Tribolium castaneum: one gene and its partner. The protein of the gene in region 1 interacts with the protein of each later gene in a pairwise test. Links are inferred from orthologs where the notes say so. Each region holds a gene or a part of one and is shown in the gene's direction. Other genes may lie near its edges.

What was found.
Region 2: the proteins of Fmr1 (region 1) and Rm62 interact in binary tests that used the Drosophila melanogaster proteins (3 or more experiments, as listed by UniProt). The link is inferred for Tribolium castaneum from reciprocal best matches to the Drosophila melanogaster genes Fmr1 and Rm62.

The regions. Positions count from the first base shown.
Region 1 is NC_087400.1:7,268,848-7,283,992, forward strand, and holds the start of Fmr1 (RNA-binding protein FXR1), read left to right. Parts: upstream 1-5,364; 5' UTR 5,365-5,493; coding exon 5,494-5,511; intron 5,512-5,533; coding exon of another isoform or gene 5,534-5,601; exon of another isoform or gene 5,602-5,664; intron 5,665-5,715; exon of another isoform or gene 5,716-5,845; intron 5,846-7,557; coding exon 7,558-7,671; intron 7,672-8,070; coding exon 8,071-8,123; intron 8,124-8,178; coding exon 8,179-8,329; intron 8,330-10,096; coding exon 10,097-10,260; intron 10,261-10,314; coding exon 10,315-10,551; intron 10,552-10,664; coding exon 10,665-10,715; intron 10,716-10,936; coding exon 10,937-11,084; intron 11,085-11,864; coding exon 11,865-12,002; intron 12,003-12,051; coding exon 12,052-12,195; intron 12,196-12,250; coding exon 12,251-12,671; intron 12,672-14,176; coding exon 14,177-14,356; intron 14,357-14,433; coding exon 14,434-14,541; intron 14,542-15,145. Other genes in the region: WD repeat-containing protein 44, read right to left, coding at 1,591-2,646, 4,259-4,578, 4,626-4,885, 4,937-5,198, 5,244-5,364, 5,534-5,601. UniProt on the Drosophila melanogaster protein: Polyribosome-associated RNA-binding protein that plays a role in neuronal development and synaptic plasticity through the regulation of protein synthesis of mRNAs.
Region 2 is NC_087394.1:23,991,616-24,006,929, reverse strand, and holds Rm62 (ATP-dependent RNA helicase p62), read left to right. Parts: upstream 1-5,402; 5' UTR 5,403-5,478; coding exon 5,479-5,480; intron 5,481-5,747; coding exon 5,748-6,785; intron 6,786-7,165; coding exon 7,166-7,404; intron 7,405-7,725; exon of another isoform or gene 7,726-8,199; intron 8,200-8,457; coding exon 8,458-8,636; intron 8,637-8,665; exon of another isoform or gene 8,666-8,806; intron 8,807-8,849; coding exon 8,850-9,041; 3' UTR 9,042-9,371; downstream 9,372-15,314. Other genes in the region: uncharacterized protein LOC103312134, read left to right, coding at 1-75, 2,241-2,554; uncharacterized protein LOC135267436, read left to right, coding at 9,463-9,579, 9,624-9,896, 9,937-10,125, 10,175-10,364, 10,412-10,578; hatching enzyme 1.2, read right to left, coding at 10,598-10,872, 10,919-11,245, 11,301-11,601; probable WRKY transcription factor protein 1, read left to right, coding at 11,681-11,774, 14,121-14,190, 14,239-14,652, 14,700-15,314. UniProt on the Drosophila melanogaster protein: As an RNA helicase, unwinds RNA and alters RNA structures through ATP binding and hydrolysis. Involved in multiple cellular processes, including pre-mRNA splicing, alternative splicing, rRNA processing and miRNA processing, as well as transcription regulation.

The DNA.
Region 1 (15,145 bases):
TTTTGTGAAATTGTAGCTTGTCATCAAATATCCTTGCTGGAGGATTAGTAGAAGTTCGTAAAGTAAAAATTTCACCTGCAATAGTCTAGAGGAGACTCAAGGAAGCAGGTCCATTTGCTAAAAGACCGGCTGGATATCCTAAATTAAGGGTAGCTCATCAAAGATTAGGGTTTAAATTTGCACAACCCTATGTGAGTTGAGGCAACAACAAATGTAAGAACGTACTCTTTACAGATGAATCTAGATTTAGTTCAACATCATCAGACTGTCGAGAAAAAGTGTGGCAAAGACCAAACAAGAGATTCAATCAATGCTGCATATCACTCAGAGCGGGTTTTAACAAAGCAGTAATGTGGCAGTTTAATGATCTGGGCTGGTACCTCTTTAGAAGCCCATACCGATTTGGTGTTTATTGAAAACTGGACAATAACACCAGATAGGTACTTCCTCAAATGTGTAGAATCACATATGGTTTCCTATGCGCCATTCATTGTCAGAAATTATCTTTTTGTGGATGATAATGCTCGCCATCACATTGTTATCTGATATTGGAATAAGTTAATACACGATGTTTTTCGTGCTCAGCCAATAGTTTCGACTTGAATCCAGTAGAACTGGTTTGGGAATTTCTTGGCAAAAGAATGGAACGTAGCTAACCCCTGCTGGAGACGTCAAATAACTTAAAAGTGGCACTGGAGAAAGAATGTTCAAATTCCTCAAGAACAGATTACCACACCCATCCAAAACAAGCCATATCGTTTAATAGACGTAATAAAAGCTTTTGGTTGTAACACCCGTTAATGATCTTAAATTAGTCTTTTTTTTTTCGTTTTTTTTAATGATAATTTCTTAAATGTCTTCTTGTTTTGGTAACTTCTTGTTTCATTTGGTTTTCTCACTGCGAAGATGCTGTTTCTTGGTAAAACACAATATAAAAGTTTTCATAATTTTTCATGCACCACAACAAAAATTTTGGAAGTGTCCGGAATTTTTTGAGCGGCAGTGTATCTTCCACCAAAATTGGCCTTTTGAGTTTTTTCTAGACACCTTTAATGATAGTAAAAACATCAAAAACGATGATTTAAGCACCAATTTGGTTGTAAACACTTCATTTCAGACGACTTCTTGCTTAGAAACCGTAAAACTTGCTGTGTCCGAAATTTTTTGAGCGGCAGTATATCATGTCTTCGTTGGTGCTACATGACATCCACAACCATACAAATCTTTTACAACTCTTGAAGCCATTTTTAAATTCACAGAATAATCCAAATAAAATAAATAAATAAAAAATAATAAGTAGAAAAATAAAAAAGAACAAAATCCAAAAGGTAACGTTCCAAATGTTTGACCTTTTGCATAAAACTCCTCTATCGATATTTTAAATCTCATAGCAAGGCTTGAGATCAAATAAAGAGAAGTACAATACATGTTGGTTTTTGCGAAAAATGTATGTAGTTCTCCTACTATACACTTAAACAACCCCGAGCTACACAAAACTTGAAGCACCACTTCGGCGCAGAAACTGGACGTGATAGTAAACTATGAATTATCCTCCAATGGTCCAAAAACGCACTTTGCACTAGAACCCACCTGTCATCCCTTGGATGGAACACAATCGCCGTCACAAAATCAATATGTTGGAAACAACACAAACACTCCTTCCTCGAAATATGCCACAACCTAACCGTCTTATCCATGGAACTCGACAAAATGAAGTAATTCTTCGACCATGAAACATCCAACAAGTCGCTCGTATGCCCCGTATATGTACAAAAGGGCTTCGGCATAAACATCATCTTGCCACACTCCTCGGAAGTCATAGCTTCCAACACCGCCAAATTGCTGTTCTCGCCCGAATGGTGCGACACTAGCGATTCCTGCGACGGAGTTGGCGACACCTTCTCGGCGTTGTATTTGGTCCGCATGTCTTGGAAGAAGGGAAAAGCGTCACGGACGATCCAAATCCGCAACACTTTATCTTGGCCCGCTGTGGCCAGGAGACGCCCACAGCAGGAGAACTTCATGCACCAGATGGGCCCTTCGTGCTCGTCTTTGAGCTCTTGCACATGCTCGACTTTCTCGAACTCGTAGGGGCCTTTGTGCGAGCTGGAAGCCTTGAGTTTGATTGTTTGCTCCCCAGGATTGACAACATCGACGATATCGATGATGTCCTCCTTGTGGCGGGCGTGGGACACCTCCTGGGCTATGCTTTTGGCCTTGTGCATTGTTTTCTTCATCGCGGTGCCTACGAACTTCTTCAACATGGCCGTCTTCTTCCGCATCCGACTCACGTCTTCATTGTCGTCGACGATGGGGATCTCGATTTTTTTCTCTTCGCTTTCTTCGTCCGATTCTTTCTCTTTCTCCATGCTTGAGCTGCTCACGTATTCGGAGGTTAGTCGCATTATGTGGAGGGATAAGGGATTGATGCATTGAGGTAGCTTGTCTTCGGCTACGCTCAAAGGGACTCGTTCTCCGGTATCTAGATTGAGCACAGTCACTTGCTCCAAAATCTCGAAGTCGGATAATTGTTTACCGGAGTCGGTGTGAGTCCGAACTTTTAAATTCGCATCTTTTAACATGTTTTCGTCACCGGCGGATTTCCGACGCTCTTTTGTACTCCGATTGTTCGACTGGTGTGTTCCTCTAAGGAAAAATTCAGTATGCAATACTTGCGAAACCCAAAATTGTGCTCAAATTTGATTTTTTTGAGCGGATATAATCCATTCAAGATGTTTTTCGATGTCGGACATAGAATTTGCATAAAATTTCATGTCTTGTCACTTGTCACTGTCAGAAAACTAGGGCCCAGGCACCACGACTACGACCATACCAGTCATAATTTGATATCTAAATTTTGATCGAATTTTACTTTTTTTAAACGTTTTGAAGACTAAAATCGCTCAAAAATTGCAGTCAAAAACGAATTTATTGCGCGATATTTAGTCAAAACGTCAAAACTAACCCGAAAAATTTGGGTAATAGTGTCGAAAATGGGTTTATTGTTGCCTTTTTCAAACTTTTAGACATTTCTTAAGTCTAAAAGTCAATGTTTTGCGTAAATTCGCCAATTTTTTTAGCCAGGTACGCATCATTTCGTAAAAAATTATGCAAAAAAGTACCGAATAGTATTGTAAATGGTATATTTTTGTTACGTTTACATACTTTTTTAAGCTAAAAACTTGCTAATCTGAGTGAAATTAGTTAAACAATAATTATACGGTGCGTTCAAAAAGTCTTTAGTCAACTCTTGCTGTGGAATTTAGATTGACAGATTTTTATTGCCTTTGATAGAAGACTTTTTGAACTTTTCACAGGAATGCAATTAATTCGCGAAAATTTGTGAAAATCAAGCCGAAAAATTACCGAATTGAGTTGAAAACAGCCCTATTATTGCATGTTTCACGCATTTTTTCGTGAGATGGCGCTAAACTAGACCGAAAAATCACTAAATCCACAGCGTTCTTTGTAAATTCAAGTGAATCTCTAATGAATTAAAAACTCAGTTTTTTCGGGAGAATTAGATAAATTAGACAAAAAATTAAGTTATTTTGCTTTTTTTGAGCAATATTGCTAAAAAAAAACCTTTTTGAGGGCATTTCTTTCGCGAGTTTTTCCAAAAACAGGCGCAAACATCGAGTGTTTAAATACTTCATTGACCAAAAATAATTACTTTCAGAAATTTTGATAAAAATGTTTAAGTTCGACCTTAAAAAAACACAATTTTTTCTCAAAATTTCGTGAGATGTGGCTAATTTGAAACAAAAAATCAATAAATTCGATGAAAAATAATAATACGTAGGATTTTTGTTTATTTTTCTGGCACTTCAACAGGTTTTTGAGCTAAAAAATATTTTTTTCTATCCACAAACACAATTTTTTTACATTTTCGTTTTAAGGCTCAAACGCAAAAGATTTTTCTCCAAAACTAAGACATAATATCGCCGTGTCAAAAAATGGCGGTATTTTAACCAATTTCCAACATTTTTAGAAAAAAGCCGAACAGAAAATTGACAAATGATCGTCCAAAGTATAGTATTTTTTGCCTTTTGCCAAAATTTCTTATGCAAAAACATCGTGTATGAATTATAGAACTTAGTTTTTTAGATTTTACGTGATAAGGGAAGCATAAATTACTATTAACTGTGCTATTAAAAAGCTTTTTATGAAGTTAATTTAATCAATCAAGTGGTCTCAGGCCCACTTGATGGACATGGTATAAAGCCAACTTGATTGATCATCAAAAATGTATAAATACCTATGAGGTCCCAAACTGTAGTGCCCGACACTTGACCTCGTGGAAGACCCTCTCGGACTCGCTGCTTGGACCACTTCACTCTTAACCTTACCCCCTTCCCCGGCCTTCAAACTTTCATTATCCTGGGGCTTGACCACAAATTGACCCTTCAACGCCTGCTTGATATCCAACGAGTGCCCCGACCGTAGCGTCGAACTCTGCGATTCGTTGCCGGACGGCAGGCGATCGAGAGAATGTTCGAATTCGCGCGTCAAAGACTCAATGGTACTCGCAGGACTCGCCAGGTCGGAGGACTCAAAAGTCGCACTCGATGCAGATTTCTGCAATACCGACTTTAAAAAAAAGATGATAGCGGTCCAAGACATACTTTGATTTGGAGCGCCGCCTTGTTTTTCTTTTTGCGACGTGGGGGAGCCACCGGTGCCACATTTTGATCGTCGCTCTTTTGCGAAGAGGAGGCTTTTGTGCTTGCAATGACGTCGGGTTCTTGTAGCGGAAGACTGGACTTTTCGGAAGTCAGTGTTGCATTGCTGGGGTACTGGGAGATGCCCTTCGAGCTGGGGGTGGAGCCCGAGTCGAGGGAGCTGGAGGAGAGAGCGGATACGGAAACGGCCTTGCGGCCACATTCTAATATTAAATTATTTAGAATTTAAACAAAACCAATCACTGAATTATTACCCCCTTCGGCGATCCCCCCTAAAATTCGTGTGAGCCGTCCTAAAGAATTGATACTCTGGAGGCTCACAGTGTCCTGTTCTATGATACGGAAAGGGTGGGAGGTCTTATTGGAGGCGGCGAAAACCCCCTCAACTGATGATGTTTGGCTGTTGGGGGGCGTAACGTTGCCAGTTTGACAGTCCTCATCGTCGTGTTGCAGCTTCTGTCTCAACTCCTTGAACTTGCGCCGGCCACCAAGCGGTGTCCTCTTCTGGGGCTCAACCTACGCAACCATATGTTTTTGAGGTTATGTAACACCTTCACTTACAAAAACAATCTCATTGACCGACTGGAGCTGTCTCTCGTCGTGACCTGGGGGCACCGTTGAGACATTAGGTTCCGAACTAGCCCTCTGGGTGAGACTTTCCTTGGAGCTTTTCCGATTTTTTCTATAAAATTTTACACGATATAATTATCAAGTGGGCAAGCGAGCATCTGTCAAAGGGCATGTGTTTCAATTGTTTTTTGTTGTCGTGAAGTGTAAATAAAGTGGTGTTGTGGTGGTCCAAAGTGAAGAAATGAAAGTCTTCTTGGAGGTAAAAAGTGCTTGGGGCGTACCTTGGACCATGACTAGGTGTTAGGTCTTCGGCGTCGTAGAATTCCTCCGAGTCGCTGCTGCTGGACATTGTCTCATGAGCGACTCGTCATTTCGGGGCGTTGTCACGGGGGCACTCGCAAATTTCGGCGCCCTACAAAACCAATGACAACGTTTAGTTTAAAAGATAAGCGTGATTACGCACAGCGCCGCTGGGCCTGTCAGTTTGACGAACTAGTCATGGTCACGTTGCGGTGCCAGGGCAGTGGCGGCGCAAGGGGGGCTAACATGGGAACGTTTAACATGTAGCTCAAAGACCGTCTTCAAAGCTTTGTCAAATGTTGCAAAAAAAGGTTAAAAATAATGGCAGAAGACAATCCTAATCTCTAAATGTTTCATGGTCCAAAATCCAAAATCCAAGATGGTTGCCGGGTGATATTTTTTTTAAATTTTGAAGTATCCATAGGAAGTATCGAACTGTCAAAGTTTAAAATGTGTTTTTGTGGAAGCTAAAATGTCTTAAGGCCCTGTTTCTAGTTAAATTTGATCTGTTGCTTAATTATTTTAATTATAAATTGTCGAGTTCTTTTGCATTCCCAAACACACTATGCAAAATTTTGCTAAATCAATCCAAAAAAATTCGTAAATTGAGCCGAAAAATAACTAAATGTGGTCAAAAATAACATTATGCATATAATATTTGGCAATATTTCTAAAAAAAATACTGAATTACGTCAAAAATTGTGTAATTTTTGCTTTTCAGGCAATAAAGCTATGTTTCTGAGCTAAAAACTTTGTTTTTTGTTTATCAACCGCAAAATCACTAAATTATGTATCTTAAATTTTTACCTTTATCGAACGTTTAAGCGCATTTTTGAACTAATTACACGTTTTATGATAAAATTTTGCAACTATTTTTTGAATAATTACACTACTCAACCCAAGTCTTGTCCTTTGAACAATCTGAGTAAAATTTGATTTGGTCTACAGTTCACGAATTTGATAAAATTTTTGTCATCACATCATATTTTTTTTAATAAATTTTTTGTTTATAATTTTATCACTCATGAAATTAAGTTAAGTTAATAAGTTATTTCAATAACTTTTTTAAAACGTTTATCTTTTGTTAGTTTATTAAAAATGATAAAAGCAAAATTTTTAACAGGCTTTGTAAGCTTTAGTTCAATAACTTTTGAGCGGTGTTGCTGTTCTGGCAAAAACTAGTTTACTGCTAAAGTTGTTTATTTCAAAAACCATTCGTTCTGCCACTTTTGCGAACAATTTGTGTTCAATTGCTGAACTTTTGCTGAACTGGACGGTAAAATCGCCTAGCACTTTTTTCATAAATAATTATTTTGCGGTAATTTTTTCAAACAATTAATTACGTTTTTGCTTTTTAAAAATTTGGACCCGAAAGAAGTCTAGAAAGTAGTTAATTTTTTATTTTGTCGAAGATGTGTGAAAAATGTCTGTTTTTGGTGACTGAGAGGATTTAATGATACGAAGATTCTGTGATGAAAGGCGGCTGTGACGTCAAGCGATTATGTCGCTTATTCTTCGTCGCAGAAAATATTTGAAAAAACCTATTGGTAATACAAAAAACAAACGATATTTTCAATTTTTGTTAAAATATAAAACAGGTACAATAAATTGCCAATGCCTACATGGATCTTAAAAAATAGTACTGTGGATTTAAAATAATCGATCCCGGAAAGTTACTATCTCTAAAGATAAATTCCTATCACAAATGTGATGCTTCTAAGCAATGTAAGTGAAAACAAGAAACTTAAGTAGTTTTTTTCTAAAAACTAGCACTTTTCGGACGATCAGAATAACTTAGGACTACTTAATCTTTTATTGTAATAAGGATTTAAGAAGAACTTTTCTAATTTAAGGAGAAATAAAGCAGGTTTGTCTATCAGCTTGTTGAATTATCCTCATTTGCCCCCTTATTGGTGTCGCTGGCGCCGCCACTGCTCCCTTCGGTTTTCGACCAATCCCAGCTCTCCATTTCGTATCTGTCACTCACTGAATTTCTTTTTGCTAGAGTGGCAGCAGTGCAACTCCCTCTCGGCTCAAGGCTGTTTCCTCACCCAAGAACAAAACCAACATGGAGGACCTGGCAGTGGAAGTATGCGGCGAAAATGGGGCCCTTTATAAGGTCTGTACCACACAAAGTATGCTTTTGCCAATCCATCGTTGCGTTCCCGTCCATTGTCCATGTGTCGGTGCTTGAGCACAAGCCTCCGCCACCCCCGTAAACCCCATACTTTCCGAGAAAAATCCCGAAATCTTGGAGTTGCAAACGCGGTTCTTTTGACGCCATGACCATCTGACAGGGCGTGAATTTTCCATGTGTAGCAAATTTTCACCCAAATCCCAATTTCCCCCTTACCATCGATCGATTCCCTAGGATTTGATGGGATTTTCCTCAAGGAAAGTGGCAGGAATCACGCGTTTCGAGGCAAGGTTATGTTCGAATTTGTGTATGAACGAGTATCATGTTACCAGTGGTGGTGGTTGGGAGTTTCGATGAATTAAAACGGGCGTTTTTTTCCAGGGGTACGTCGTTGATGTGTTTGAGGATTCCGTTCTTATACATTTTGAGGATGAGTAAGTTGATTTTTTTGTTTTTTTTTTTACTGTAATTAAGCACGATTTTAATTAGGTGGCAACCGGATTCAAAGTTTCCCTTTTCTCAAGTTCGTTTGCCCCCAAAACCCGACCCAAAGGTCGAGTTTACCGAAAACATGGAGGTTGAAGTATACTCCAGAGCTAATCATCAAGAGGCTTATGGATGGTGGAAGTCTAGAATTAAGGTGAGAAAGAAGATGTGGTTGTGTAAGCGCTTATTTCTTCTTTATGTGATAATTTGTTATCTTCAAGTTTTTTCTATTTGTTTTGTTTGATTTGAATCATAATTAGTGGTCTATAATGACAAGCAAATTACTTAGGTGTCAAAAACCTTATCTCACCAATTGTTTGTGAGAACCCCAATCACGTGATGCGGAAAAGTTGTCAATATTCAAATTTGACAAGTACTCTAGATTAATAAGTTCCATGTTATTGATTTTAATTTTCACTCATCACTAAATAACAAACAAGAATTATTTGATTGTTTTCAAAATCCCTCGCATCGTATTTCTCTTCATATAACGTTTTGTTTCCCAAATGCAATAAGCTTTTCACTTTTTTCTCTCATTTCATTATTCGCTACTCGAAATTTCCCACATTCAAGTAAAATATGACAATGCGATAGAAATTGTAAAAATTGACGCTCAAAAGTTGCGGATCGTCTAATTTTACACATTATTACTTAAAGTTTATTTATAGAAAAAGGACACATTGCATGACTCGTCGAATTTGGAATTTAATTGCGTACTTTGAACTTTTCTATTAACTATTTATTTTGTTTTAATCTTTATTTTTGGTCCGATTAGTATTTTCTATTGGGAAGGATTTTCTTCTTGACCGAAATAAATCGAAACATGTAATCATAATTGCACAAATTCCAAAATATGGAAAATTGTACTCATTTCCTCTCAGTTTTTTTGTTGTATCTCTTATCGCTTTGTCCTTGCCACATACTGGACAAAAGTACTGAGATGTCGATAAATTAAAAAACTGTAATCCAAAAACATCTTTTGGAATTTAAAATTTTGGCATTTTGTTTTCTGATGTACTATTAAATTTTTTGTTTGGCATAATTACATTACATTTTAATAAGTTTAAAATATTGTTTTATGTTGGCATTGTGTATAATTTTCAGTTTTTGACTTTTTTGTTTATTTTTTTATTTTTTCCGTATTTAATTTAAAGAGTATAAAACTAGTCGTTTTGTTTGTAATTCCATCTGAATACAAGCTAACTTAGGCGGACGTACTCGAATAGTTCCGAAGTTGTAACGGCAAAAATTAACTATACTCGGAATTGAGGACGAGTGAATGAGAAAATTTGAAATCAACTTTTTAAGAAAAATAAATAATTAAATCTTTACAAATCTAATTTTACCTTAATTTAAACCTTTACCCACTGGTCTGAAACCATTACCCACTGGTCGGTTGTTATGTAATTGTAAATCTTTGTAACCGCTAGGAACACTGCAATAGGATGTAAAATATTACCTAAGACAATTTATCTACTTAATCTGAACGCGTGTAATACTGGAGCTCTGATTTTTCTAATTTTAGAATTGGATTCATAATAATAACATGTTTTATTCTCAAACAAATATCTGATACAATACACAGGGCCTTTCCTAAGTTATACTGTTGTGGGATTTCGAGGTTTTAAAGTCAACACACGTCTGGCATTATTTTCAATAATTATAATCAACAATTAAGCGATATAAGGTGATACCTTTTATGTATAGTAAAATTTATTTGTGTGGAGATTTTGGATGAGACATAATTATACACACGCAATATCTTCAAAAGAGATAAACATTTTACAACAACTTCTTTATAAACTTTTTTATTAAAAAAGTTTATTAAAACTGATGCACGCTTAAACTAATTTTGCAATGAAGTAATTATGGCGTTTCTAACCGAATGGACAAGCAATGCAATTTCGCTCTTCTTCCTCAGATGATGAAAGGCGACTTTTACGTGTTGGAATACGTCGGCTGGGACACAACGTACACGGAAATAGTCAGCGACGATCGTCTTCGTGTCAAAAACTCTAATCCACCGATTGACAGTTCGATGTTTGTCAAATTCGAAATCGAAGTACCAGAAGACGTCCGCGAGTAGTAAGTCTTTGTCGGAGATTTCTTTGTCTTTACACACATGATTTTTTTTCGCAGTGCTAAAATAGAAAATGCTCACAAAGAGTTTCAAAACGCCATCGGTGCTAGTCTCATTAGGTACGTTCCGGAAAAGGGTGTTCTCGTAGTGATATCGAGGAACGAGTCGAGTCGCAGATGCGCGCGTCTTGTGCAAGACATGCATTTTCGTAGTTTATCGCAAAAAGTGCTCTTATTGAAACGTACGGAGGAGGCGGCGAGGCAGTTGGAGAGTACGAAGTTGGCGACAATCGGCGGGTAAGCAATTTTTCCTCCCCTTGTAAAAAAAACGTACGGTGAATTGCCTCCGATTTTGAGCCAAAAGGACGCTTCTTTGATGTTTTTCTGACGATTTGTTTTTTCTCTTTCAGCAAGTATAAGCCCATGTACCAGCGTGTCTCAAATTACGAGACCATTTCAAGGTGAGACTTGAAAAAGTTCAAAAAAAATACGCATGTTTGTAGAATGTGCATTCCTCTTGGCTCTTATTCGAATTTTAGGGGCAATTTACCGGATTTATTTTTTGTTTTGACAGCATGTTGTTTTATTTTGTACGAGAGAGAAAATTTGTGCATGTCAAGTCGAGCCGAGGGGTGTTTGGTGTTTTTTGTTCTTGTGTTGATGATGCGATTTTTTTTTGCAGGTTTTCCGATGAGTTCAACGTTAGGGAAGATCTGATGGGGCTAGCGATTGGGGCTCACGGTGCCAACATACAACAAGCTAGGAAAGTCGACGGTATTACGAACATAGAACTTGAAGAAAATTCTTGCACGTTTAAAATATATGGAGAGGTGAGAAAGCGAGAAAGCCCACTAATCATTTTTTTAACTCGAAAAATATCGAGCCCAAAACTCTATCATCAATAAATTATCGCTATTGTTTCGATGATAGTTTATCGGAGATCCGATAGATGACCTCCCTATTTGGAGCAAAACTCGTTGAAGTCATAAACAGTATTTGTAAACATAAAGTGACAAATGCGTCAAATATGTTTCAAAATTGATATTATTTAGTTTCTGAGACGGATTTTTTAGAAAAATTGTTAACATTTGTAAAGGTATGTCGTTTTTGCACTGGTTCACAAATTATCCGGCTCGAAGGACCAGATGTAAAGGTATGTCGAAGGACCAGGGTCTAAACAGAAACGAAGATTTTGAATTTTGTTGGAAAAACGTTTACTTGTTCTGACTGTTTCTTACATAGTCATCTTATGAACTAAAAACTACCCAAAACTACACCCCACCCGAGAAGAGCTGAAGGAGTGGGGATGTATAAGCGGGGGGTGTTAACAACATTTTAAAACCAGCAAGTCTGTAGCTGTCTAAGCACAGCTAGTATAAAGTACTTGCGACATGAATTTTTGTTTGAAACTAGAGGAAAAACTGTTTTAAATGTTCACAGTTCGTACCAGTAATAAAATTTGGTTGTATTAAAGACAAGGGCAGAACATTTTCAAAAACAGAAACTATATTGGTTTGATTATGAATGACTTAATAGTACTTCTGCTCATGGTGCTTGGAATTATGGCAAAATAAAAGCAGCTACAAAATAATATTTGTTTATTTTTATAGACTGACGAGGCTGTGAAGAAAGCCCGATCGATGTTAGAATATAGTGAAGAATCTCTTCAAGTTCCGCGGGCGCTAGTAGGAAAAGTAATCGGCAAAAATGGCAGAATTATTCAAGAAATCGTTGACAAAAGCGGTGTGGTACGTAAAATTTAATTGTTGTTGAACCAGTTTGACCGATTTTTTCCAGGTTCGGGTTAAAATCGAAGGTGACAATGAGCCCCAACCGACGATTCCTCGCGAAGAAGGCCAAGTACCGTTTGTGTTCGTCGGTACCGTAGAGAGCATATCCAATGCGAAAGTCCTCCTCAAATATCACCTGGCACACCTCAAGGTACCTATTTTCAGCCGAGTTTAATTTTTTTATAATGTTTTGTTCGTTTTGTTAGGAAGTGGAACAGCTTAGACAGGAGAAACTCGAGATCGACCAGCAGCTAAGGAGCATTCACGGCAACGCCCTCGGTTCGATGCAGAGCCTGTCGATGAGTCGACGAAACGACCGAGGCTACAATTCGGACATGGACGGGGGCGGCCGTCCTGGTCGCGGTTCGATGCGCGGCCGCGGGGGCAGAGGCCGAGGGGGCGGCGGTCCCGGAGGACGACAAAACGACCGCTACAATTCCGGTACTAGTACGATAACTGATTATGTTAATAACGTGGATAAGCGCAACAACGCCGCCAACAAACCGATGGGGAACGGCAGGGGCGGTGGACGCGGTGGCGGTGGCGGCGGTCATGCCAGCAGCAATGGGCGGCCCCCGAGAGGGGGCGGCGGACCGCCGACGAACAACCGCGAACGACCCAACAAGGGTAGGTTGTCCATCGACTCGGCCGCCGGGGGCGACAGGGGGGAGAGGAAGTGATGGGGGCTGATGACGACACGCCCCGTCATTAACACCGGAATGGCTTTATGCAGCGCGTCCGGTTTTATTGTTGTTGTTTTCATTTTCTAACGTTGGTAATGAGGATTTTTGAGAACTGCGACGGTTGCATAAAGCCCTAAAATCATTTCAAAATCAGTAAATATAGACTGACCCGGCTGACGACAATTTTTAAACGATTTTTAAAACGACGATATGACACGAAATGACGTTTACCAACTTAAAAATTTGGAAATTTTTGCTTGATTAACACTTTTTTACCTTCAATTCTCTTGCTAATAACACACTAAATTGTAACAAGTGAATGTACATAATTTTTGTTTGGCTTCAAATTTTTGTCCCTTAATTACGAATTAATTTCTTCCCTGTCCCTCCCCAGTTTTTTTCTCTTCTGGATTTATTTTTTTTAGTTTGACTTACTTTAATGTTTACGCTGTATTATAGTACAGTAATGTAAATGTAATCATAAATATTGGATTTGTTGCTAACGAGCATTGTCGCTAATGAAATGTGACTTAATTTCAAGGCTTTGTTGTGACGGTGGGTGCAGAAATGAGAGTCCTTGTGATTTTTGTTCGTTTTCCCTTAGTTCGGTTGATATCTGCACCTTCCCGAATACGTATTGTCAATAAGATAATTAGATTGGTTACTTTAAATAACAGACAAAAGTCGTGATTTGTTTGTTGTTTGAGCTGACCTAGAAGTTAGTAAACCCCCATGAGGCTTCTAAATATCTCGACAAAAAAAATAACCTTGCTGGAAGGGTACGCAAAATCGATTTAGCCATGTGTAGACTACGAAAAGTGAGTGAAAAAACGCGACGAAACGCGGTTTGTGCTCACTGTGAGTTTGCTAACACTACTTAAGGAATTTAAATACCAAAAAATGGGCAATAGTGACTGCCATGGCGAAAGACTGGCTCACTAAAAACTGTGTCACGTATCTAATTAATTGTGAAGACTTTTTTAGAAATATAACTTGATTTAAAAAATGAAATTTTTGGTGTTTTATTGCATTTTTGTTTTTATGAGTATGAGTACGGACTCGTACCCTTCCAGTAAAAAGTCGAGCCGATTTCTCGTGGTTTTACTAACTAATGCATGCGCATGCAAAAAGCTTGAAGGGTGTTTGAGTCTGTGCTCACTGATTCGTTTTTCTCCCCCTTGGCGTCGTAGTTGGTGATTTGTGTTAGTGGCGCTGTTTATCTACGATACGAACAGTTAATGCAATTTAATTAATTACTCGTTTCGTCCCAATTTTAATTACGTATAGATTTCTACTCTATTACTTATGTTTCTACGATTTGGTAATCAAGTATCAGGAAGTAAGGTTGCATGAAGGTTTTTTTGAAGAAACTATTTGTATTTAATTAAATCACTGGGAACGAGCGATGAATGTCGGTTGTCGGTTTTGGTTTAGTGAAAATCTTTCTAGGATCGCGTCACCAGACGCCGGAAACAGCGGATGAGCGCGTCAGTGATTTGCCCCCGCGTCATTTCGGGGGTCCTCGCGGGCGCGGCGCCCGCAGGGATAACCGAAGAGACGAGCGGCGTCGCACCACCGACGACGAGGAAACGGTTTTGGACCTTACGGAGGTATCCAGTGTTGATCGAGGTAAGTCAAGTGGGGGCGGTTAAACCGGTTCAAAGGGAGAAGGGTGTAGTAAAGATGACTCACTCGGGTTGTCTCAGAGTCTATATCGAGTGCGGAAGCGACTTGGTCAGGTGGTAGGAGTCAGAGGAGGCGTAGACGTCGAGGGAGACAGCGCAGCCTTACGCCAGTTATCAACGACACCACAGGTAAATTTTGAGCGGTTTGGCTCAAAGCCAGTGGATGGAGATAGGTTACGGAGAACTAGACACAAGGAGACGGAACGAGACACAAAATCGCTTGATTTTCATACCGAAAAAATATACAGGGTGTCTCAGCTAAGACTTTCGAGCCTGATATCTCAGATATAATAATAATAATAATAATAATAATATAATTTATTTCTATAAATTTATACAGATGTAGTAACAAAATTGATATGAAAAACGTCAGTTTATACACAGAAATAACAATAACATCAAAATAATTTTAAAACATATGTCAAAAAACCTGTCTATTATAGAGTTCATTTAAAGTATATGGTTCGAGATCCAAAATGTAGTCAAATATTTTCTTTTTAAATAAATTTAAATTACAAGGTGTGCGTAGATGCACAGGTAAACTGTTATATAGTTTTATTTCTGCATAATAACATTTTTTTCCGTCATCGTAAGTTTGTATCTTGGATACTCTAAGTCTACTTTGCGAGTGTTGTACTTATGGTCGTTAGTGACATTAAATAGTAGATTATGTTTAAAGAAAAATAAAAGTAATCTATATATGTATAATCCAGTTACTGTCAAAAAGTTTTTG
Region 2 (15,314 bases), on another chromosome or scaffold:
GACAAGGGTACCAGACGTCGTATAGTCCACCCATGTACCAGCAACCCCAGCAGAACGGCGGGCCGAGACATTACGGTATGTATTTGGAGTGACTGATATAAAATACAACCGTAGGATTAAAATGTATAACAAACAAGAAATAACAATTGTTAATTAATTGTCTTGCGTGGATTATTTCATAATTTTTATTTTGTGTAACTGTTATTAAAAAACATTTTATTCCGAATGTTTTTGGACAAACCATTTGAAACAAATTTTACTTTTTATCACTTATCAGTGTTATGAAATTGGGGAAGTATGTGGCTACTTTATTATACAGGGTTTTCAAAAACTGGCGCACCAACTCAGTGGTACCTTGTTGAGAAGCATGTAAAAAAATTGGAGCTACAAACTTATTTCGTTAACTTTTTCAGTTTTCATTATTTTTTATTTTTTGTTTCACACTAAGTAATCGTTCTCTAACAAAACGATGAATATTTATTTTTAAATTTACCATCAGACTTAGCAGTTTTTTAAATTAAAAAAAATAAAATTTATCAAAAAAATCACAATGTATAGATGTGCCAACACTGGGAATTATTTTCTAGGAAACCATTTCAAAATTATTTTATTTTTATTGTTGATGAAATTCTATTGTGATCACAACTGTTAAACAACGTTGCCACATATCATTTATGTAAAATTAGTTTGAATATTCGCTTCGCTAAACTGAGGGAAAAATTAAATTGTTAATTAAAACGACGAATAACCAAATCATCTCAAATGGTATAATTTATGCGTTTTGGCTTTTTTTTTTTCGAAATTTATTATTATTATTTCATAGAGGGTTTAGCACGATTTTCAGCAGTAATTATTTACAAGAATTTCACCAAAAAATACGAAATGAGGTTGAAATGGTGTTACTGTCGTGAAAAGAAGGTTATTTTATGAAGTTTTTTCTATTAGAAAAGGAGGAATTCGTCAAAAGTGACGAAATTTGATTAAAAAAATGTTATTTGCATTTTGTGGTAAAAACTTAATTTTCGCTAGATTTTGTTAAACTTGATAAAAATAACATTTTTGCCTTTTCGTGCATTGTAGTCTTGGTTGTAGTATGTTTTTGTTTCGAAACGCCATTAAGTCGTTGAATTCCGGCAAAAATAAACCTAAAAATTACAAAATTGTGTTAAAAACTGCTATTTTTGCATTTTTTTTTTCGCTTTAAGTACGTAGTAAAAACTTAATTTTTTTTGTTACGAGTATGTCTTGTTGAAAAATAAAATTTAATTGGAGCTATGATTCTTATGCCTTTTTTTTCGCTTTGCAACAAGTTTATCAGAAAAATGCCAAAAATTGTGAAACTTGGTTGAAAATTGTGTTATCTTTGCTTCAGGGTTTTAGCAGGTTTTTGTAGTAAAAACTCAACTATTTTTCAAATTTTTGACTGAAAAATTAAAAATTCATTAAAAAATGTTATTATTGAAAAATGACCAAATGACTAGAAGGCAGCAAATTTTGCAAAAAAATAAGCTTAAAGAATCGGAAGTTTGGAGTTCTTGCGGTAAAAACTTTGACGAGGTTTTGTAATCGAGGTTGAACATAAAAAAAAATTCTTTTGCTTGTTTTTGGCTGGAAAAGTAATTATTTCGATGGATATTGTATTGTGTTCTGTATCGAGTTTTAGCACATTTTTCAGTCTAAAGCTCAATTATTTTTAGGAATGTCACAAATAAGTGAAAAATTAATACATTATGTAAAAATTGGTGTCATTGCTTCCTTTTCCAAGCATTTTAAACATGTTTGTAAATTAAAACGTCAGTTTTTTCTGTCGAATAATTGCTAAACTACTGTTTTTTGAGTGTTTTTCTATGTTTTACAGCCCGAAATGTAGTTATTTCGAGGAAATTAAAAGTATAATGTATGAATTATATTAAAATTGGTATTATAACTTCGTTTTAAGCATGTTTGTAAATTAAAACAGCTCAGTAAAACAATAATTATTTCGAGGAATTTCGTTCAACGTAAGCCAAAAAATACTATGTTTTAAATGCTGTTGTTTTATAGCTTTACGATAAACTGCCATTGTAAGACGCTTTTCACATTTTTTGTATTTTTATGTAACAACTAAACTTAAAAGCAAAGAGTGAAGAAGGTTTAAGATTTTTAATTATTTTTTTCGTATTGGTTTGTTCAAAACATCGTGAATGAAGAATTACATATGTCTGCAATTGAATTTGGTATAATTTGGCCCCTCTTTGAAGGTAACAACCGCGGTTACAACCAGCGTTTCAACCAGCGCCAGGCCTATGGGGGCCTTCCGCAGACCAACAGCCCCAACATGTACACCGTCCCGCCTCCGGCTTACATGATGCCCCCAGGCCCCCCTTCTGACGGCATTCAGTCGATCATGAACCACAAATTCTTCCAGAGTAATCGCATACCTAACACAACCAATCCTTGCGCTTATCAATCGATGGGTCAAGGCCAAAGTCCTTACAGCCAGTTCCAAGGTCCCCTCCCTTACACCACCTACTCTTATACTCAACAGCCCGCAACCGCCACCGTACAGCAATAAATCTGCCGTCAGATGGCACCATCCCCGTTTTTTAGTCGATGTACGTAACCTTATTGTAAATTGATGTTTTTTTTTCTTGTTATTATTAGAGGGGATGTTGACGGTTCGCACCGCTTTAATCAGGCTTAATGTTTTGGGCTCTCCGACGACTACTCGAGGTGTTTTGGTCGGTCTTTGTCTTTATATATTTAGTGTGTAATCTGTGTGTTCTCGGTGACGAGACGATTTAGGTAGTCTAGAAGTAACTATCTGTATGCTGTTGAAATGCACGAAACATATAGAAGGGGAGTTCGGGCTCGTTTCGTTCTAGTATTTTATAATAATATCAAATGAAAAAAGTAAAAATCGATGCTGTTTAGGTGAGTCCAGTCAAACAAACAAAACGGGGAAAAGAGGATTTGTTGATTTGTTACTAGTATGGATGTTTTGACTGTACTGGAATTAATTAAAGACAGCAGAAAGAGTGAGAGTTTTAGCCGTACGTGTCGTGTGCAAGTGACTCGTACCTTTCGTTTTTTATTTATTGCGATTCTTGACATGACTGCTTGTGTCGTGTAAATATGTGTAGTATTAAGTATTTAACTCGTTCGTCGTTTAGCGTGGTGCTGATTAGCGCGCACGTCCATCTGTGATATTAACGATTTAAAAGGTAGCAAAAGAATAATAACATTAACTTTCCGTGACTGGGAGAAACGCCAAGCGTTATTATATTAAGCTATGTACAATAACGTTGATAGATAGGAATGTGATATTTTCTATATGAAAAAGACTGAAATATCTCTAGATAATATTTTGTTTTAAAGCAAGGTCGCTAGCGGCCCGTTTTTGAACCTCAAACATTTTTACTGTTATACTTTTTTAAATGAGTTTTTTTAATGGAAAGTGAGAGCGTATCTCGGTACTCGGACTGAGTGCGTAAAGCACAAAGTTATTTCATTATTCTGTGACGTTATCATTCGCGCCAATGCATCATAACGATTAACGATTTTACATAATATTTAATATTTTTTTCCTCATTTTTATTATTCTTCCTTCTCAATATTTGTACCTTGTAATTATAAGTCTCGAATCTGAACTCGTGTTTGGGATTCGTTGAAGCGCGATTTCGGTCAAGTTTTATTTACATGTGGGTTTATTCTTCTCAAATTAGGTTGCATGACCCTCGCATTAAAACTCTCTAAAGGAAAAAAATACAGTTACTGTTAAAAAAAGTCATTATTTATATACTCTTCTGTAAGTTTCCAGCAAGTGCATTTCTTGTATGTAATACAGTATTAATATAGTTGTAACTTAAAATATATATTTCATTTTCTAATGTTTTTCTTGGCAAATTTCAATTTTTAACCTGGATGGATGTATATCTATATTCATTAAAAAACAAAACGAAATATTTATATTTTGCGAACAAATCTAAATTAGGAATTGAAATTTTCAATGAAAAAGATGGAATTTTCTCATAGGTCCTGTAACCGGAAATTGTAACACCAAGTTTCGACTTTCGACAAAACGTAATTGAGCGAAAATTGATTTTTGACACTTTCAAAGTGTTCCACTTGAATATGTAATTGTTTCTGAGAAAAAAAATTGAGGAAGTGTTCCATCTCGTTTGTTCAAAATGTCAAAAAATCCGAATTTAATTGTTTATTCAAATATTTCAAATAAAAATGTACCATTACAAAAGGTTTTTTTCTTATACCCTAATACCCTAATCCTACAACAAAAAAATGAGACCAATTGAGAGGAGTGATCTTGTTCACATTGCATCGTAACGGTTGATGAATTTTTACCAGCCTAGGAAGTAACAGTATTTTTTGTTCAAAACATGTTCCATTGTTAACAATTTTCACAATAAACCAATGTGGTATTGATTGTTTTTTTTCTATTTTGTAACAGTTAATAGTATACAGTGGTTAATGCAAATCCCGTTTTAGTCCTATGTTTTAGTAACAAATTGGTTCGGACTTAACGAATAAACCTCGCTTAAACGAACGCTCGCTTTTAATGGTCAACGAGCGTTCTTGTTCAAAGCAAAGGATCGTCCAAAATGAGCCGTTTTTGTACAAACTAATACATAATTCGTTTTTTTGTAACCGAATAAAGAGTTTCAGTTTAAACTATTCCTCTACGATTTGGCTCGTTCTTAAACAATGAATCAAAGAAAGTTAACTTTTTCCAAAAAAACAAATGCAAAATAAGGCGGTTTAAAGTATTCTCTGGTGATTGCTACATTTTAAGCAAAGAATCAGAGGATCAATTTCTTGCAAAGAAACAAACGCAAAATCAGGCGGTGATTTGGCTCGTCTTTAAGTAAGGAATCAGCTTATTTAACTAAACAGGTGGTTAAATAACGCGATTTGAAGTAATACCTATAACAAAGATTAACAATAATCTCATATTGAATTGCAGGGCTGTAACAATTTGCTGTATTTTAGAAATTTTTATTTATCCATTTTTTTGCAGGAGGTTAAAAAGTATGCACTTTCTCACACGCAAATTGTGAGCTACTTTCTCTATCCGATTTCTCTTTGAACAATAGAAAATTGCACAAATTCAAATCTTCCGCCACTTTGCAAAAACATCGTTTCCGTTTTATTGATCCCAGAAAGCGTCGCATTGCGTACTACGCATGTGCAGAACCGTTTCCACTCTCCCCCTTCCAGAATTCTCCACCATCTTTCTCTTCAACTTTGGACGTTGTTGAGGTGAGTAGCCTTTTTTTGCTTTTCCGAAAATTTTTCTAATATCCACCAAAAAAGTGTTTTTACCTCAAAATTAAGCGTTTTTGTCGTCACTGAAGCGGTGGAAACAGAGTGGACTGATTTTCTAATGACGTTTTTCGTTATTTTGCAGAAATTCGCAACTCCAAAGAATTGCAAGAATCAAGTTTAATCACCTTTTGAAAACACCATCCGACAGTTTTAATCATGTAAGTACCTTATTTTCTTACCGAAAAACGCGAATTCGGACGTATTTTACCCGTTTTTTACGTAATTTGGCTAAATCGAGTCAGATATTTAAAAATGTCTGCCGTTCCTTTGTTCTGCAGCTGTCTCCTAAATTTGTCTCGAAAAATCAATAATCGCAGTTTACGTCATTTGACTTGTCACACAGATTAAATAACGGGAAATTGAGCAAAGTTTTTGCGTAAAATGGAGCTGGAAATGTTAACTGAATCCGCTTTTCTCTGTCCCAGGTCTTACGGTAAACAAAATGGCGGATCGTATCGAGGCCGTGGCTCCGAGAACGGTTTCGGAGGCGGCGCAAGTCGCAACGGGTTCGGGGGCGGCAGCCGCTTCAAGAACGGTGGGGGCGGGGGCGGTGGAAGCCGATTCGGCGGCCGCAGCGGCGGCGGCGGATCCCCGGGCAACCGCCTCCGAAAACCCAATTGGGACATGAAGAACTTGCGCCCTTTCAAAAAAGATTTCTACGTCCCTCACCCCGCTGTTGCCAACCGGTCAAAGTACGAGGTCGAACAGTACAGAAGGTCCAAGGAAATCACGATAGATGGCGATGCGCCCAACCCTATCCAGAACTTCGAAGAGGCGTGTTTCCCCGATTATGTGCAACACGAGATCCAGAAACAGGGATACGACACTCCAACGGCCATCCAGGCGCAAGGGTGGCCCATTGCCATGAGCGGGAAGGATTTGGTGGGCATTGCCCAGACGGGGTCAGGGAAAACCCTGGCTTACATCCTACCAGCGATCGTCCATATCAATAACCAGCCATCTATCGCACGTGGCGATGGACCCATAGCTCTAGTTTTGGCCCCCACGCGAGAACTCGCCCAACAAATCCAGCAAGTGGCCCATGATTTCGGAAGTTCGTCCTATGTTCGCAATACCTGTATTTTTGGTGGCGCCCCCAAGGGGCCCCAAGCCAGGGATTTGGAACGTGGGGTTGAAATTTGTATTGCGACTCCCGGCCGTTTGATTGATTTCCTGGAGAAGGGAACAACGAATTTACAAAGATGTACCTATTTGGTCCTGGATGAAGCTGATAGGATGCTGGATATGGGTTTTGAGCCCCAAATACGCAAAATTATTGAACAGATCAGACCCGACAGACAGACCTTGATGTGGTCAGCCACTTGGCCCAAAGAAGTCCGAAAATTGGCACAAGATTTCCTGAGAAACTACGTACAAATCAATATTGGGTCGTTGCAATTGTCGGCCAACCACAACATTCTTCAAATCGTTGATGTTTGCCAGGAACACGAAAAGGAAACAAAGTAAATATCTATTTTTATTTTCTTCATCGTATGGTAGCTAATTTACATGGCACAGTTAATAATTGTGCTGTGTAAAATAGTTAACACGAGATTTGTATTTAATTTTTTGGTCGACGATTGTTATTATAATTTGTTTTCTATTATACCTAAAGAAGTATTTGCTATTCCAATCAGAGATAAATAGTCAGAAACCAATTTTTCCCAATTTGACGTTAACAAAATAATTATTTCAAAGTGATGAGCAAAAGTGCTGAAATAATACTGATGTATTATTACCACACCCAATCCTCTAAGAAGAACTGATTTGAATTTTAATTTAATAATATATTTAGCGAAAAATTCGTGAAATTAATGTTTGTCGTTTTTTTTTTTTTTCTCAGATTGAATAACTTGTTGCAAGAAATCGGCAATAACGGCGAGCCTGGAGCAAAAATCATTATATTCGTAGAAACCAAAAAGAAGGTAGAGAGCATAACCCGCACAATTAGACGTTACGGATGGCCTGCCGTTTGCATGCATGGTGACAAGAGCCAACAGGAGCGCGATTTCGTCTTGAGAGAGTTCCGAAATGGCAAATCGAGCATTTTAATTGCTACAGACGTAGCTGCTCGTGGCTTGGGTAGGTTTTTAAACCGAACGAAACGTTTGATTTTTCATCTGTTTCTTTTTTGGAATTTAACCATGTTCAGTTTTTTCAAATTTATCACTTTAATTGATACACATAACTTCGGAAATATTGAGTATGATGGCATAGTAGCACTTGGGGGATTTTCCAGACTGGTTTTATAAATTGGGGTGTGCGGTGGGTGGGTTGGGAGTGTGCATGATCGTCGTAGGAACAAGCCAAAAGAATCTTCATTTTTAATTATGCTTAGTTGTTAGTTTGCAATACCACAGGGAACAGATTTTTAATCAGTCTGGTTGTCCTTTTTTGTTTCAGAGGCACATGCAGGATGAGCGTATTTAGCAAGTGCTAATAATTACGCCTTTGTTGCGTTCTTGTAAAGGATGCAATTCTGTGTCTTGCGGTGCCTCTGGCTGGCTACCCCGCTCTGAGGTAGATCATTTGAGGAGGTAGAAGACCGATGGAAGATTTGATGTGCTCTTTCGCATCAAATATGGCACATGTTTGGTATACACAATCCCATTCCATGTATCCCTTATAATCCTTTCTAAAAAACAAAACTTACAAGTTTCGGGGAATTACCAAAAGCCAAGTCAAACAAATGTCATTCAAATTTGAGTATTTGTCTTCCGTTCGGTCCTGCAGTGTTTAGAGCGCCAGCATATTTATTGATCCCAGCAGCACATGCGCTCGGACATCACTGCAGCAGCCATTTTGCTACTATAGCTGTTCCGATGATTTGTTGTAAATGCTTCACAACTTCGTGGATCACTTGAAACTCGAGTCATGGTTAGTATTCTTGATATTTTTTATTTATATCAATAATACAATGACAGTTTTGTAACAATTTCATTACTCTTCCAACAAAAAATGAAAAAAATACAAAATTGTTACAAAACTCGTTATTGTCTTTTGATTGAAAACCATGTCATTAACTTGTGTTTCACTAATTTGGTTTTGTTACAACAAGGTTTAATTTTCTGTGTTTGCTAACACAATTAACGAACTGTGCCACGTGTTACCCATATAAAACAAGCTTTTCTCTAGATGTGGAAGGAATTAAATATGTCATAAACTATGACTACCCCAACTCTTCAGAAGATTATATTCACAGAATAGGAAGGACAGGCCGATCTGACACCACCGGCACCTCTTACGCTTTCTTCACTCCATCCAATTTCCGACAAGCCAAAGATTTGGTTTCCGTTCTTAAGGAAGCAAACCAGGTGAGGAGAACCCTAATTTTGAGTCAAACCCTTCCTTTTTGGCATGCCTTTGCTTGGAAAAAGACGGCAATGCATGAATGCTGAAGGAAGGGAGATTAATTCTTGGGAAATATGCCTTCGGTGTCCACACAAATTCTGTCTGGATCCCATCCTCAAGTTTCCCAACACTTCTACTATAATTTTAAACTGTAAACTAATTATTTGTTTGAACAGGCTATCAATCCGAGACTGTCTGAGATGGCGAATCGTTGTAGCAGTTACGGCAGCAAAGGGGGTAGCGGCGGTGGCGGTGGTCGTTGGGGCTACGGCGGAAGTTTTCGAGGGCGCGAAAACAGCGGTCCAAGAAATCACCAGAGATTCACTAATGGCGGACGATCCAACGGATATAGCAACGGAAGTTATTAAAACTATAACAGTGTGGACAAGGGAATGACCTGATACAGTATTTTTCTTCAGATGCATTCCATATGCGTCCCAACTTAGTTGCTATTAATTATTGCAAAAGAATTTCTATTTATTTATGTGGTAAATATTTATTGAACGTTCGTTCGCTCGTTCTAAATGAATTTTTTTGTATTATCTCTCAATACATAGCGATTAAGTTCTTCTCTTATTAATGTTTGTAACTGTGATTAGATTCGACTTTAGTTTATATTGTCACAATATAATTTTTCCTTATATCCGACAGTCCGTCATTAGAATTAATGAGAAAAAATAATAAAAGGTGTTTTTTTACGAAGGGTTTTGATTGAGAAACCAACAGAACCAAATCCTGAATCCTGTCATTAGTTCCCATGGCAATCGTTTTGTCAATAAAACGTCAAGAATGAGGAGGTACAAAGGAAAAAAGAAGAGTAAAGAAGCAAGTAGACAAGTGGTACTTGAACCAATTAGAAGATCCTTGTACGATGTAGTTCAAACAAACTTAAAGATAGCAAAGAGGGTATGCGCAATTGCTAAATTCAATCTCTTTAGAACAGACTTCAGGTCACTTACATTCACCGATTGCTTTACATCGGGGAGCATTCTTTTACCCCTCGTGAAATCGTCGAAGCGATGGAAAAAAACTACAAATTAACGAACACCGGATACTGCACTGAACCCTTATCCGGGATCCTCCTCTACTACGCTAACCACTTCTGCTACATAGCTGAAGGTTCAGAAGAAGCCCTCCACAAGCACTTGAGTCTTCTCTTTGAACACGAATCCGAACGTCTCGAAAACGTGCGATTGTTATCAGCAATCCACCACGTCAAAGCGGTACGACCATTTTACTGGCAACCAAATTATTTTTAATTAGCGTTTTTGGAACGAATGGATGTCGCATTTTGGCCGTCCTGCCGAACGCGTCGAAGAGTTTGACTCTAACAGCGGCCTGGAAAGCTCCATGATGTATGTGACAGAGTGTTGCGAACGTTTGTACAAATTCGCCAATGCGTTCATCAGCGACCAGTTGAAGGCCCGCGCCAAGAGGGAAGAAGAGAGCGATGTAATTAATTATTTTCAGGTGTTGAACCATCTTAAGTGTAGTTTTTAAGAGTTCTGGTGACGATAAACCAGATGTTGCGAATTTGCAGCGAACGCGCAGTTTGGTCGAACGCGACCCTTATTACGAATACCTTCCCGAAGTGAAACTTTTGAGATTTTTAATCAATTGCGAGTATTTGAAGACTTTGAAACAGTATCATCGCTATTACGAACATATCGGGCAATCGAAGGACTTTAGCTGTATTAAAATTGTTTCGGTGGTACTTTTGTGTTAGTTGTTTTTTTAGTGAAAGCATGGCCAGCACCGAAGAATTTCATCCCCTATGATGTTTTCGACGAAGAGTACGACCCGATTTCGGACTTGCCATCGGTTGAAGGACAAGACATAGTCAAGGAGGAAGAGTTGGGTAGTTTATTATCAGCGTCGATTCAAACAGGACAAGTTGAAGATTAATTAATTTTATTTAAATAAATTAAATACCCATAAATTGACATAACGTGTAGTATTTGCGACGAAGTCGAGGGTTGTCGAAACAGCCATAGAGATCGTTGAGTTTCAAACAGTCTCCCTTGGAAAGAGCCTTCCTCTGACCAAGCCTTTTGATTCCTGGTTGCTTTGCTGTAATTGTAGGTTTGTTTTTACCTTTACTGAAAAAGTATTTCCCGTAATGCATTATGGAATCATAGTCATACTCGAAGCTGTAAGTCGTATTTTCAAGGCTTTGCTTATCAAAGTTGGTTTTGTACTCTGGAAAAACGAGTTATTATGTGATACAAGTGGTAAGTGTTATTACGTGGTATGATATTGTCCATGTGGATTTTAACGAACTTGTCTCTGTCCCATCGTGACTGTTCGTGGAACACACCCAAGGCGTGCATTAGTTCATGGACGGCCCTCCCTTCAGTACCAAGACAATTTGGGCTTGTGGCGTCTGGTGGTTGTAGACTCACAATCTGGGCGCCACCAAAACGACCCACAAATGACCAACAACCCTTGGGGTATTTGATGGGCCAGATTAGGAGATAATCTTTAGCTTTACCATCCCATGGTACGAACCGAACGCAAGTCATGAAGTTTAGAATATGGATGGCTTTTAAAATTGTCACTTGGTCCGATGGTTCTGTGACGAGAAATGATTACGGTCGTGGTCGTCGTTCGTTGGTTTAATTACCGACCATATATGGGGCTTATGACATATGGAACAGTCCCATTGACCCATAGTTTTTCCGGAAACACGTCCCACCGTATCCCTACCCTCCAGTAGTTGTAGATCTCGTTGGTCATAGCCATGTCCCCTTGGAACAGTCCGGGAGTGACTTCGGGATCGGGGTCTTCCATCATAAAAGCCATATCTCGGTCGACTTTAGCTGAATGACATTTTTTACCGTTAGGTGTTATGGAATGCACTGATACTACCATCGTCGGGTACGGGTGGATGCATGACATCGGGTACCGTCGGAAGGATAACTCTGGCATTTTTCAGATGTAGCAGAAAAAATAACACGAAAATTGGCCGCCGCATCTTCGACTGCTGAAAGTCGCGCACTGAAGCAGCATGATTGAAGTGTTTGATGGTGCAAATAGCGGTGCTCGGCTGGTGTCAATTAAATCGTCATTAGCATATTTAAGAAGCTGGATTTGGACGCCAGGTGGGTTTTGTGGTGGTGGGATGATCGCGGAGATTTATCGGGATTTGGAATCGAATCGATAATCGGGTTCCGTTTGATGACCTTTACGATATATAAGTTGCGAGTCGATGAACGGTATCGTGCGGAATTGTCTTATCATTCCCTCACGACTGTTTATGCAAGAATGCGGACGATCTTTAAATGTGTCAGTTGCGATTTTTTGCTTCGAAATGCAAGAAGTAAAATGACTGCACTTGTAGTTGGTCTATTTACGGAACAATTTAATATTTAAATTAAATTGGATTGCGTGAAAGTTCGGTTATTTTAAAATGTAACTACAGGATGCACTTTGAAATTACTTGCATGATGTGCTTTTTTAAATTATTAATTACAAATTATTTCCTTATAAACAAACTTTTGAAATCTTTTTTTTTCAAGATGACGTTTTATAAACTGTAATACAGATTTGGTAAAATTGTTTTGCGCAAACACCAACAAAACAAAATATTTGAATAAATAATTAATTAATTAATAAGTTAGTATCTACTACAGAGAAATGCTTGTCTTAGGAAGCAGTGATTGGTAAAAGAAATTGTCTCTAGCCTTAAAAAAGAAAAAACCCCCCAACAAAAGTTTATTTATTCTGTAGCTTATTTTATTTGGAAGAGGTTAAATTAATCACAAATTAAATTTCGATGTTTGGTTTTTGAGATACAGTAAAAATATAATATATACTTTCACCCTATATAAATAAGTAACTTTATACTTTTCTGAAATCTTTTTAGAAATTATGCGCCGATAAAAAGCCTTTCAAAAGCGTGGATTTTTTAAATAAATTGGCAATCTATTGGACAATTTTGGATTCTTTTTTTTATGAATTAAATAAAAGTATAAATGTTCAAAACTGCTGGAAACCCCAATTCAAATTAATAAGGTAATATAATCGTTTAATAATAAGTAATCAGTATGTGCTACGTATTTTATGGAATAAAAATTTTTGAAACTGTTTTGCTAAAATTTGACATCGTGCCGTACACACTTTTTTAAAAATATTTTAGTATATTTTCAGAAGAGTGTTTGTGTTTCGATGGCAACAGCTTTTGATATTTTTATCGGAAAATTTTATATAGTCTGCTGTCGTGTCAGACGGTTTTTAATACTCAATTCTACTGTTCGACAATTTTTGCACATACAGCTTAATGGATGTAGGCAAATAACTAAAACTGACTGCCCACTCTTTAGAAAAAAATCTATTTATTTCCAGTGATCTTTTAAATATCTCTGTATTGATTCATTCATTCTATTAAGAAAGTAAGCCACATTAATTTATAAAATGGTGGACGTAAGTAACAAATAATTGTGCTTCTCAAAATTATTTTCTTGTTTATGTAAGTGGAGTAATAGAAAAATCGAAAACAGACCTACTTTTTTACAAACTAATATAAATCAAATTATAGGAAAACATAAAAAACCGATTTGCGTTCTTCATGAATTTTCATGGATCTGTTCTGTTTTGCATGCGTTTGTCGTTTCCAAGATATATTTTATATGTGGGAATTGGGTCGCAAATTAGGGTGAACCACGTATTTGTTGCATGCCACAACTGGGTTATAGAGGAAATTATACTCTAGGCGTTGCAGAGATTTGAATAATTAAAATACTGATAAGATTTAATTGCTAAAGCGTCGTTCACACGTGCATTCCGGCGATTTTATTTTTTAATGAAATGAACGAATTGCTAAGTTCCTTCACACCAATTTCCCAACGTACCATCAGCTTAAAATTTCGTAACGTTTTATTAAATTGCCTAATATGGGGGTCACTTCCCGTATAAATATTTCCACGTCGCCCCAAACAAATCACACGACGGTGAACTCCCCTTCAATTCCATCACCAAATGGGTTATTCACCTTCAAGATGTTTGAATAGTTGTTGCTATAGCAATAACATTGATCAAATACGAGATAAGTTTTCCCGCATACATTTATTGTGGTTTTAGTTTCATTACACTTTCACTCGTTTCACGCGACGCAGTCTTTTTGTGACAAATTTTTTGAAAAATTTGAATATCAAGCAAAAGGTAAGATTTTTCGTAACATCATTATAAAATCGTCATAAATGACTAAAATATTGATTGTGTCACCAAGCACCACCGTCTACCCTTTTTTGGCACGAGATTTTCTTTCTTTTTCTAGTTTACGGTAATATAAAAATATTGCTCGGTTAAACGATTTGCTTAGAGTAAAATGAAATGTCCACGTACGTAGACAAACCCTTGTCGCTGATCGAACGGAAAAAACTGCAGTGGGCGAGAGAAAAAGGTAAAAATCGTGAAAATTCAATCAGAGATTTGTGATTTTTTTGCAGAAGAACTGGCCGGTTTGTGCGCCCCATGGGGCAACAACAAGGACCAGCCAATCGAAAGGCCATTCCAAAGGTATTTCCCCCTTTAACACTCTTAAATACCTACCCTAATTTTGTCTAGGAATAGACATGTTCCGAAGTTGTCAATGCCTAACTCCGAGTTCTTCCGCAATAATAGTGTTACAAGACGCTCCAGTTTGCCTCCTTTATCACGAAATCAATTCAATTCGATTGATAAGGAGATGGGTTGTGAGACTTCTGGTTATGGTAGTGATAATCCTACCAACAACCCAGAAAACCAAGTCACGAACCAATCAGGGTACGAATCTTCCTCTAGTTACAAAGACGATCGTCCGAAATGGAAGGACAAAAATAAGTTTTGGGATTGTGGCGAGAACGACCCTCCAAGTTGGGTCAAAAGGGGGCTCCAGAGAGACGAAGAAATCGTTGTTTCAAACACCTCACCAGCGGAATCTCCCCAACAGCACGAAGAGGACGTTGAAAGGCCCTACACTAGCAGTAGTGCCTTCAACCGGTAATTGTTGATTTAGGTGTTGGGCAAGATCCCGAAATTATTTTTAGGACTTTCATTCGAGGCCAAAATATTCCAGTCGATTCCACAGAACTTGCGGAACGGGAACGAAGAAGACAAATCGCGATAGCACACCAAGAAGCAATCCGACAACAATTGGAAGAACGGGAACGAAGACGATTGGAAGAAAAACAGAAACGGATCAAAGAAGAACAAGAAGAAGAATTGCGAATCGAGCGAGAACAAGAAATCGAACGGCGAAGAAAAGAAAACGAGTTGCGTGCGATCCGCGAAAAGCAAGAACGTGAAAGGAAGAGGAAGGAAGCGATCAAGGAAGCGTTGGAACTTGCGGAAAAGGAAGCAAAAATGGAAAAAATGAAGCAAAAAATAATGAAACAAAACAATGTCATTGTTGAGGAAGGGAAGAATAACATTGAGAAAGAGAATGAGACTATAAGCAAGAAAAATAATTTGGAACAAGAGATTAATAATAATAGTAATAACAACAACAATAATAAGTGTTTGGTGGTTTCACCGAGGCCAGAAGTGTTGAATAATGAGGTTAATAATAATTTGGAAGTGACAGGAAAGAGTTTATCGCCTCGAAACAACGACCGTTCGAATACACCAAGAAATGTGAAATCGTCTTGTAGTTTTCAAGTGTT